Arabidopsis thaliana: one gene and its partner. The protein of the gene in region 1 interacts with the protein of each later gene in a pairwise test. Each region holds a gene or a part of one and is shown in the gene's direction. Other genes may lie near its edges.

Region 1 (4,821 bases):
CTAGAATGAAGGGAGCTTAAAAATGGCAAACCTGAAGAGCTGGCTTAGTGGGGATGCGGAAAGTAACGACAGCAGGAGCACCGTAGAAGACTCCTTTAACCTTGGCCTCCAATTCGATAGAATGAGACAGAATACCTCCTCTGCACAGCAAATATTAGATTAGTGACGAGAGTAAAAGCTAAAGCAGGCCAATATAAGATTTTATGATTGAGGAAGAAACTCACGCATCAAGTCTTTCCCATGATTTTGAAGTGTTTCCATTAACAACTTCAAAAGTCTTTTTATCCCAGCTATTATCTGTCAGAGTCACATCATACGCCGACCTGAGAGCAAACACCACAAATATCTGACGCTTTTAGCTGACATTCATTAAAAATCTCAAAGTCATCGTAGCCGGCAGATACAAAATTCACAAACCAAATCCAAAATTCCGATAAACAATGAGATCAGATCAAATGGCGTTTCGTTTAACTGATACGCATACGGTAGATCTAATGATAGCTCAAGCATAATCTCCTAATTCTACATTGACCAATCTCTCCATGCAATCAGAAATTAACACGGATCGGAAATGAAAATGGAGAAATCAAACGGATTCGGGAAATAACTAGATGAAGGATAGAGAACTAACGAGGATCCTTGGTTATAGATGTCGTAGGAAACGGAGACGCGTTCGGCGCCAGATTTGAGCCTGTTGAGAGTGGCTTTCTTGTGAACCACCATGAACGGCACTTCCGAGGTCGCGAACGAAGCAGAAACAAGCATGAAAACCGCCATGGCGGAGATCAGAAGCTTAGCTACAGCGACGGCCATGGTTTGCGATCTACGACGATGTAGGTGTTTAAGCAGATGCGGAAATAGATCTACGAATGTTTTCTTCAGCTCAAGAAACCTCCGACGACGATATTAATCACCACCACCACCACCCATTAACAAAAAAAGTCAATGATGGGCCCAATTGTTTTTCACCTGATAATGGGCCTACTTATAAAAGCCCATTCTAATAATAAAGTGTATTAATATACCGTCCAAATTAAAGAAGGGAAGTGTGTTTGCACTTGCAGTAGAACAATGAAGATAACACAGCCTGTCTCCTGCCACAATCTAACATGTTTCTTTTCCCACACCACATTTCGATTGGATCCAAATATTCTCTAATACTTTTATAATCATAGATGACTTTGTCTATTAATTATCTCGTCTAATTATAAAGTCTACTTAAGATGTAATAGCCAACGATTCATATCATTCAAAAGACATATTGACTCGAATCAATGGAGGTTTTGTTACCATAATCTCATTTTCATTTCTAACAATCTTTTGGTTGGAGTAAGAAAAGAGGGTAAAAACTGATAAAGTTGATTTGATTCAATTAATCAAGGTGGCGGGAAAGTTAAGGAAAGAAGTCAACGAGGAAGGAAGTACTAAAACTAAAACAGGAGAGCCAATAAAAAGTAGGCAAGTGGGTGGGGACATAGAATAAGAATTCACAGCTACCCGTAAGAAACATAATTAAAACTTGGATTAAACCGAAAGGCATGTGATTTTCCTTTGTTGGTTAACTAAATCACGTATATCTATCGTTGAATATAAGAGCATGTGGAGGGATTTGCATCGAACTCTGAAACCTGAGTAAATCTTCTCTTCCCATCATCACATGCTTACTTATCTCTTCTGGTTAGCTCTCTGAGATTCTCTCTTCCAGATTGTTCTTTTTATATTTTACTTAGAGCTTCAAAATTAATCCGGATCTATCTGCTTCAGGTTGTTCCAAAACATCCTTATTTTGACATATATATATGTCAATGTTGTGTAGGATGATTTTGTGAGCAAAAGATCATAGCAGAGAGAGAGAGAGAGAGAAAGAGAGCATGGGGTGTGCTCAATCTACTATTGCTGTTGTGGGAAGGAAGAACAAGAAGAGGATCATTCAAGAATCTGTAGTGTTTGTTCTACAGTTCCGTGTTCCTGTTCAGTCTGATCTTCAGCGCCAACTCAAAGGTGTTTCTCCCAAGACAACCATCAATCGGTTGACATGTTTAAGAAATCAGATTGAGTTGGTAGCTGAGGACACAGGTATAGAGAAATTAGACCAACTTCTTCCTCTTTTCTTGCGTGTCAAGACATAAGGTTCCATCTTTTCTACTGCAGGGGGTTCAGCCATCTCTGAGTTGCGTACAGCTTTGGAGGAGTACTTGTCACTTCTATCCGGTCTTATCAAGAAAAGTTCGTGTTTGCAAGTTTTGATTAACTTAAACAGTTTAGTATATTCAAATGGTGATATTAGAATATTTAACTCTACAGGTAAAGATGGAATGGAGGGCTGCGTAGAGCTCAAATGGAGGACCCTTGGCGATGGTCGACGAGTAAGTTCGGTTTTTGCTTAAATTAAGCTGATCCTAAGGATATTCATTTTGTTTGTTCTAGTATCATTAAAATCTTAACAATGTGAAGGGTGTATACAGGCAGAGATATGTTGCACAAACCTTTGGATGGAGATGTTGATAGTGATCCACATGATGGCTGCTTTGGCATTGACTGAAGCTAACTCTCTCATGATTCCAAAGGATTGCTATGCTTCTGGTTCTGGCAATGGCGTCCGTGTGGTCTCCACTGGTGTGGCCTCGTTGACTTTCACACTTTTATTTTAATTTATTGTGTTTACAAAAAACTAATTAACCTGTCACTTTCAAACAGATTGCAGGAGAGATGCGGTTGACTTGCTGCTCAAGGCATCTGGATACTTGGAGTTCTGCGTCCGAGAGATTCTGACTCAACTTCCTCATGATATAAAGTATGAAGCACAAATACATAAATTCTAGGATCACATTAATACTTACATATCTGAAAATTTGCTATATGTATGCAGGAGTAAGTTGCCAGATGATATGCAGGAAAGTGTATTACAAACTCTCTCTATACAAGCACTAGGCCAGGTTACACACATGCTTACTTTGAAACTGTGACTCCTAAACCTGAATCTTGTATATATGTTTTCAATTTGTAAGTTTGGTTGAATCTCACTGCAGGGAACTGAGATTCAACTTGGATTAGCAGTTGATAGTCAGAAAGCAACATTGTCTGTGAAGAGGAGAATTGCATGTGAGCAAGTCATCTACTTCACTCAGGTCCTCCTCATAGTTTAACAATCTTCAGCTTCTTATAACTGTGGCATGCTTTCGGGGCAATCATATGTCTTTTCTCTGTTTTAATTATTAATTTGCTATAAAATGATCTCATTATCATTTCAGGCATATCACTGCTTGTCTAGTTGTGAAGCAGTTAGCCATGGATGCGCCAAGAAACTTCTCCGGTTTATCTACTGGAAGTTTCTGGAAGCAAAGGTATTGTATGTGTATGTAAGCTATTGTTGAGAGTGATCCGATATATATTCATCTCTATTGTTCTTTCATAAAATATATCTCTCTATTATGTTCTGCTTTTTTCTTAACAGGCTGCAGCATACTACTACCATGGACTGGTAACAGACAAGGGAAGTGAGCCGGCTTGTCACTTGAGCGCTGTGTGTTGTTTCCTTGCAGCTGCAGAGATCCTAGGAGAAAGCAAAAAAGCCTGTCTTAGCTTCTGCTTAGCTCCTCCTGTCACAAGGTTTGTGTTGTTGTATGATATCCTACATGTGAATTATGAATGATTCAGAATTATTTTGTATCTATCAGGGCTCCTCCTATGTGGGGTGTTATGAAGCATTTGAGCCAGAAGATTCCAGAAGTTGCTTTTAGAAAGTCGCAGACATATGGATACTTGCTTGAAGAAGAAGAAAAGTAAGTCGTTAAGAGTGTTTTCTTTTTTTGCGTTTGTTTTAACGAATCAAACAAGATAGGTGATGATATGATAAAACCACAGGGCAATGCAGTGTTTGCCAGAGCTTCCAGACTTTCAGTTGTCATTGAGACCCGACGACTTTGAACTGCCTGAAATAGAGGATGTCTCTTCCTCATGAAACCAAACCCATTTGCTTAGAGAACATCTTGAGTTCTTGACTACTAGCTACTCATGTTGATGATGATGACCTTGATCGTTGAGAAAGAAGCACTCTCTCTACACATATTCTTTGGGTATTTTACCACTTATAATTGTAATGTAATATTTTGTATTCTTGTCAGACAAAATCTGATACTTGAGTATAGAGTAATGTAATATCTGGGTGATTACTTATCTTCCTTGATAAAGAATTTGGAAGGACTAGAAGAGAAAGAAAAAAAACAGCTGCTAATTAATAAAGGAAGCGTTTAGCTATGTTGGAGAAGAAATGTTGTTGTGTGAGGAGCTAAAAAACGGCCCGCATTTTAAATTGGAAACAGCAGGATAACCGCAACGTCACGTGAGTTAGTCACGTGTAAGTGATGATGACATGTTCGATTCCACACGTACAATAAAAGAAGTGGTTGTTGTGTGAGGCGCTTGGAAACGGCACGCAGTTTAGTAGTCTTAATTTGGAAAAAAGCGGAAAAAGCAGAATAACAATAACGTCACGTGTGGGATGATGATGAGATGTTGGATTCCGCACGTACCAACTTTGTAGAGGCGGTAAGGGATTTTGACGGCGGTAGTGCTAATGATCTCCGACACAGACATGATCGGATTTTTTAATCTCCCAATTAAGGTGACGGCGATGAATGATAAAACGCAAAAACATTCCGATTATCACTCGTAACGGTGATGATCGTTAATTCATCAAAATCTGCTGTTTTTTTTGTTCTTCCAAAAATGCATCATCCATGAAAGATAAAAGTATCATCAGAAACTTAAAATCGAAACGATCATCATCATCGTCATAAGTAATATCCAAAAAAGGTAGCA
Region 2 (5,156 bases), on another chromosome or scaffold:
GACAATAGAGAACAGCTCGAGCTTGTTTTGAAATTGGGAGTGTTGTGTTCGCACCAGGCTGTAGCAATTAGGCCAGACATGTCTAAGGTGGTCCAGATCTTGGGTGGTGATCTGCAGCTTCCAGATAATCTACTCGATATAGTCAAAGCAGAGAAGGTCAGAATGTGGTCTGAGACATCTGAGAGTGTACTTGGTGTTTTGACATCACAAGGGTCCATTGGTACCTTGACGTTAACGGAACCTTTTACCTCCCGGGGACGCTGAGACGTGATGCTGAGTTCGGTCGTGAAATGATATATGACATGTTTGTTTGTAAATATTTTATGTTTTCGATTGATGACAAAGGAGTCAGAAAGGACACTTGACCATCACGGAAGCGATGACTTCCGTCGGACGGTAAAAAGTGATGGTCGAGGTTTGGTGAGAAATCTAAAAATGTGACGGTGTTTGCTTGATAAATATCTTTATTTTGGTGATTGTATTGAATGTATCGTTTTGATTTCTGTTTATACTTATATCGGCGGTGGAATAATTACACATGACCTGAAAAGTATGCGTTTGTGTTTACTTTTATGTTGTAGTACTTGTTGTGTTTTTCAGCTATGAAAAGTCTACATATTTCTTCTGTGTGCTAACTTATTGGATAAATTGGATATTTTTAAGAGATCTAATGTTTACACAAACGTATGGTGAACACCAATGGGGATGTTTACACACACTTATGATTTATGACTGAAAGAGATGTTAATCGAAGTATATACTCCATTGATTAATGTTAATCACCGAAAGAGATGTTAAACAAGCATTAATGTTTACACTTAAATGTGATGGAACGAAAACAAAGAATAAGTTTAAATTTGTTGTCATGGTCTCAATGAAAAACCGAAAACGTTGTGCTATCAAATTACTCAAAACGTTGAGCTAGCTAAACTTGGCAGAAAAGTATCGAATGATGCTAAAATGCAAAAAACCATTAAACCCAATGTACGGTTTATAGAGTTTTCATATGCCAAGTGGGACATCCACGTGGAGATCCTATGCCACTTGTCCCCTCTCTGTCTCTTTCATGCTTCAAACTTATTTGGCTTTTACGTGGATTCTCACGCCCGAGTACGTCGATTATTACAAAACTCACATAAATTAATATAAACACTTTATATTTTGTTTTGACCTTTTTACCCCTTCTCATTGCTCATCAATTTTCATAGATCTAATACCAAATTATCACACATATAGGAGAGTCATCTAACAATTAGCACAAGTCATGAGTGAAAGAGACTAAGCATGAATCATAATCATCTTTGACATAGGTGCTCAAAAGTAATCAATTTTTTCAACTTTACTATTCAACTCAATAAAAGAATTTTTAATCAACAATTCTTTTCAAGATGTATCCCTTTTTTTTCTTGCAACTTTTTCTCAACTATATTAATATTTAGTATACTGCTACTTAGCTACTCGATGTTTTGATGTATCATTGATCATTATTGTTGACTAATAATTATTTGATACAAATATTTTACCGACATATGTAAGAACAATAGTGTCAAAATTGAAGCATCTCAAGGGTATTTTAGAACAGATACCCAATTTATTTATTTTTATAATTTGTCACCTTGTTTTTCACACACAAATGACAATATGACGTCATTTTCCTTATTAGAATAATTTTTTTAACAAAAAAAAGAATTATTTATTTTCGTCTCTCTTATTGCTTGCTACGCTCAACGCTGTGCATAAGCATTCTCTTTCTGTGGACGAAACTAAACCTGAGAGAAAAAGCCAGAAGAACCAAACTCAGACCGAGAGATAGAGATTGAGGGAGAGCTCTAGCTCTGTAGAAAAGAAGGATTCATTCATCATATCCAGAAATGGCTCTAAAGTTTAACCCTTTGGTGGCATCTCAGCCTTACAAATTCCCTTCCTCGACTCGTCCGCCAACTCCTTCTTTCAGATCTCCCAAGTTCCTCTGCCTCGCTTCTTCTTCTCCGGCTCTCAGCTCCGGCCCCAAGTCAGTCTCTTTCTCTCCATCATCGTCTCTCTTATCTACTTTCGATTCTCTCTGTTTCATCTTTGTTTACTGTGTTCTGGGTTTTGCTTGTTCTTATCGATATTGGATCTACGTTTTCTCGATTTTGTTCAGTGTTATTTGCTTACATTTGCTTAATCTCGAGTGTGATTTCAATAAAAGTACGTTCTTTTAATCTGGGTTTATAAGAATGGGCCATCCTCTGTTCTCAGGTGATTCATTAATGCTCTTTTTCATTGAATCTGATGTTTGTTGATTGTTCCCTATTATTCTCACGTTTCTCTGAGATTGCCCCATCTATCAAATCGTTGCCTTTACCATATTTATTCTGCATCAGATTATGTAGATTGCTCGTTGATTGGTTGTTAGTTAAGATTAACACTAGTTATCTTCTTTATGGTATAATGATCTTTAGATTGGTTAAGACTTAACAGACATTGAGGAAAGCTTCTTAGTCAAAGAGAAAGTTTTGTTTTGTTTTCTCTGGTTTAGTAATTTTTAATGGTGAAATGTTTATCCACTTGTTTCTTACTCATTTGATGAGTTTTCTCTTTTGTATTGACAAGAGATTCTTGAACGTATCAGTTTACGTCTGTTTATCTTTCTTCAAAGACATTACGTTGGATATCACGCTTCGTGGCCTTTCTCTATGCATGCGTACTTCGTGGCTTCTCTCTTTAGTTTGCGTCCAAAATTTTCACACTTTTCTGTAATTTATTATTCATTCTTTCTCTGTTTTGAAGACATTTGGCTCTTTATCTTGTCTTTGTCTGATCAGTAGTCACTACATTTGTTTCTTTCACAATCTTTCTTTTTTGCTTCATATTGAACTGCAAGACCAATCCATGAATGCAAATATAAAATATTGTCTTACGGTTAACCATCTCTAAGTGTTTGCTAGTCATGAATTGTGAAATTGTTTCGCTTCAAACATAGAATTAGTTGATTTGGAAATGTAGACATGAATGCTTATCTAAATACAATAAACTGTGTTCTTGTTTCAGTTGTGTATCAGAGATGAGACCTTGACTGGTAATTTCAATGGAGCATAATTAAATGCTAATGATACTTATTTTCTGGTTAATGCAGGGAGGTTGAGAGTTTGAAGAAACCATTTACGCCACCCAGGGAAGTGCATGTTCAAGTCTTGCACTCCATGCCACCTCAAAAGATCGAGATCTTCAAATCTATGGAAAACTGGGCCGAGGAGAACCTTCTGATTCACCTCAAGGATGTGGAGAAGTCTTGGCAACCCCAGGATTTCTTGCCTGACCCTGCATCAGATGGGTTTGAAGATCAGGTAAGAGAGTTAAGAGAGAGGGCTAGAGAGCTCCCTGATGATTACTTTGTTGTTTTGGTGGGGGACATGATCACAGAAGAAGCACTTCCGACCTATCAAACTATGTTGAACACTTTGGATGGAGTTAGGGATGAAACAGGTGCTAGTCCTACTTCATGGGCTATTTGGACCAGAGCTTGGACTGCAGAAGAAAACCGACATGGCGATCTTCTGAATAAATACCTTTACTTGTCTGGTCGTGTTGACATGAGGCAGATCGAAAAGACCATTCAGTACTTGATTGGATCTGGAATGGTGAGATAGTTTCAGGCAATTATCATGATTTCTTGGTTAATATAACTACCTAATCGCTTTAACTTATCTTTCATAGGATCCGCGGACAGAGAATAACCCCTACCTTGGCTTCATCTATACGTCATTCCAAGAAAGAGCGACATTCATCTCTCACGGAAACACAGCCCGCCAAGCCAAAGAGCACGGGGACATCAAACTAGCCCAAATATGTGGCACAATAGCTGCAGACGAGAAGCGTCATGAAACAGCATACACCAAGATAGTTGAAAAGCTCTTTGAGATTGATCCTGATGGTACTGTCATGGCTTTTGCAGACATGATGAGAAAGAAAATCTCAATGCCTGCTCACTTGATGTATGATGGGCGCAACGACAACCTCTTTGACAACTTCTCTTCCGTGGCTCAGAGGCTCGGTGTTTACACCGCCAAAGACTATGCAGACATTCTTGAGTTTCTGGTTGGTAGGTGGAAAATCCAGGACTTAACCGGGCTTTCAGGTGAAGGAAACAAAGCACAAGACTATTTATGCGGGTTGGCTCCAAGGATCAAGAGATTGGATGAGAGAGCTCAAGCAAGAGCCAAGAAAGGACCCAAGATTCCTTTCAGTTGGATACACGACAGAGAAGTGCAGCTCTAAAAGGACAAAGACAAAAACAAAAACCTATCCTCCCGGTTCCTCATTTCATCTGTCTGCTCTTAAAATTGGTGTAGATTACTATGGTTTTCTGATAATGTTGGTGGGTCTAGTTACAAAGTTGAGATGCAGTGATTTAGTAGCTTTGTTTTTCCCAGTCACTATATGTTTGGTCTTTGGTCCGTTAGCACACTTGTAGTAGTTAAAACAGTTTAAGTATGGTCTGTACTCAGTCTTCCTCTTCTCTGTGGAGTTTTGTTTAAGTTCAGGTTAGTTTTGTTTTGTCTCTCTGTTTTTTCCCCTGTTTCTCGACAAACAACTCATGTGGCTTTTTAGCAATTTTGATGGATGATCATGATGAATAATTGAATATCTTCAATGTCAGTTTACATTTAACTAATTGGTCAATGTTTGACGATCATGCTTAATGCTTATCTCTATAAATTAATGTAAAGTCAATAATAATGAAACCCTTGACAAAAAAAAAGTGAGAAGTTGATAGATTTTGAAAGAAGAAACAGAGACGGCTGTTGAGGTAACTTCATGCTTGAGCCAGACTAAAGGAGATGATAATGTTCGTAAATGGGCCCAATTTAAAAGAGGCTAGGCCCAAATAAGGTAGTGTTTCAGAGATGGGAGGCGGTTGAAGCTACCTATGAGAACTTGGGGAAGGAGTAAAAAAATGTTCTCTTTTTCAGTCTTTTTTTGTCTAATTTTTTTGCAAGTAAAGATTCCAAACTTTTTCGAGTGAATCATTGTGAGAGCAAAGTTGAACTAATAAATCAACTCGCCGGGAAAAAATGGATCAAACGGCGGAGGAGAAGATGGTGAGAGAGAGGATTAGAAAGAAAGTTAACGAAGTCAGTTCTGCGTCGCAGTCTCTTCTTTCTCCAGTACAA

Evidence for each region.
Region 2: the proteins of AT5G14020 (region 1) and SSI2 interact in a protein complementation assay, tested with the Arabidopsis thaliana proteins (one large-scale study listed by BioGRID).

The regions. Positions count from the first base shown.
Region 1 is NC_003076.8:4,522,870-4,527,690, reverse strand, and holds AT5G14020 (Endosomal targeting BRO1-like domain-containing protein), read left to right. Parts: upstream 1-1,523; 5' UTR 1,524-1,871; coding exon 1,872-2,076; intron 2,077-2,151; coding exon 2,152-2,226; intron 2,227-2,304; coding exon 2,305-2,366; intron 2,367-2,465; coding exon 2,466-2,616; intron 2,617-2,697; coding exon 2,698-2,794; intron 2,795-2,869; coding exon 2,870-2,936; intron 2,937-3,029; coding exon 3,030-3,128; intron 3,129-3,251; coding exon 3,252-3,344; coding exon of another isoform or gene 3,345-3,374; exon of another isoform or gene 3,375-3,454; coding exon 3,455-3,609; coding exon of another isoform or gene 3,610-3,652; exon of another isoform or gene 3,653-3,677; coding exon 3,678-3,782; intron 3,783-3,864; coding exon 3,865-3,961; 3' UTR 3,962-4,270; downstream 4,271-4,821. Other genes in the region: AT5G14030 (translocon-associated protein beta (TRAPB) family protein), read right to left, coding at 32-140, 225-323, 632-813.
Region 2 is NC_003071.7:18,118,236-18,123,391, forward strand, and holds SSI2 (Plant stearoyl-acyl-carrier-protein desaturase family protein), read left to right. Parts: upstream 1-1,637; 5' UTR 1,638-1,871; coding exon 1,872-2,011; coding exon of another isoform or gene 2,012-2,015; intron 2,016-3,118; coding exon 3,119-3,623; intron 3,624-3,699; coding exon 3,700-4,260; 3' UTR 4,261-4,654; downstream 4,655-5,156. Other genes in the region: AT2G43700 (Concanavalin A-like lectin protein kinase family protein), read left to right, coding at 1-264; AT2G43720 (FAM136A-like protein (DUF842)), read left to right, coding at 5,058-5,156.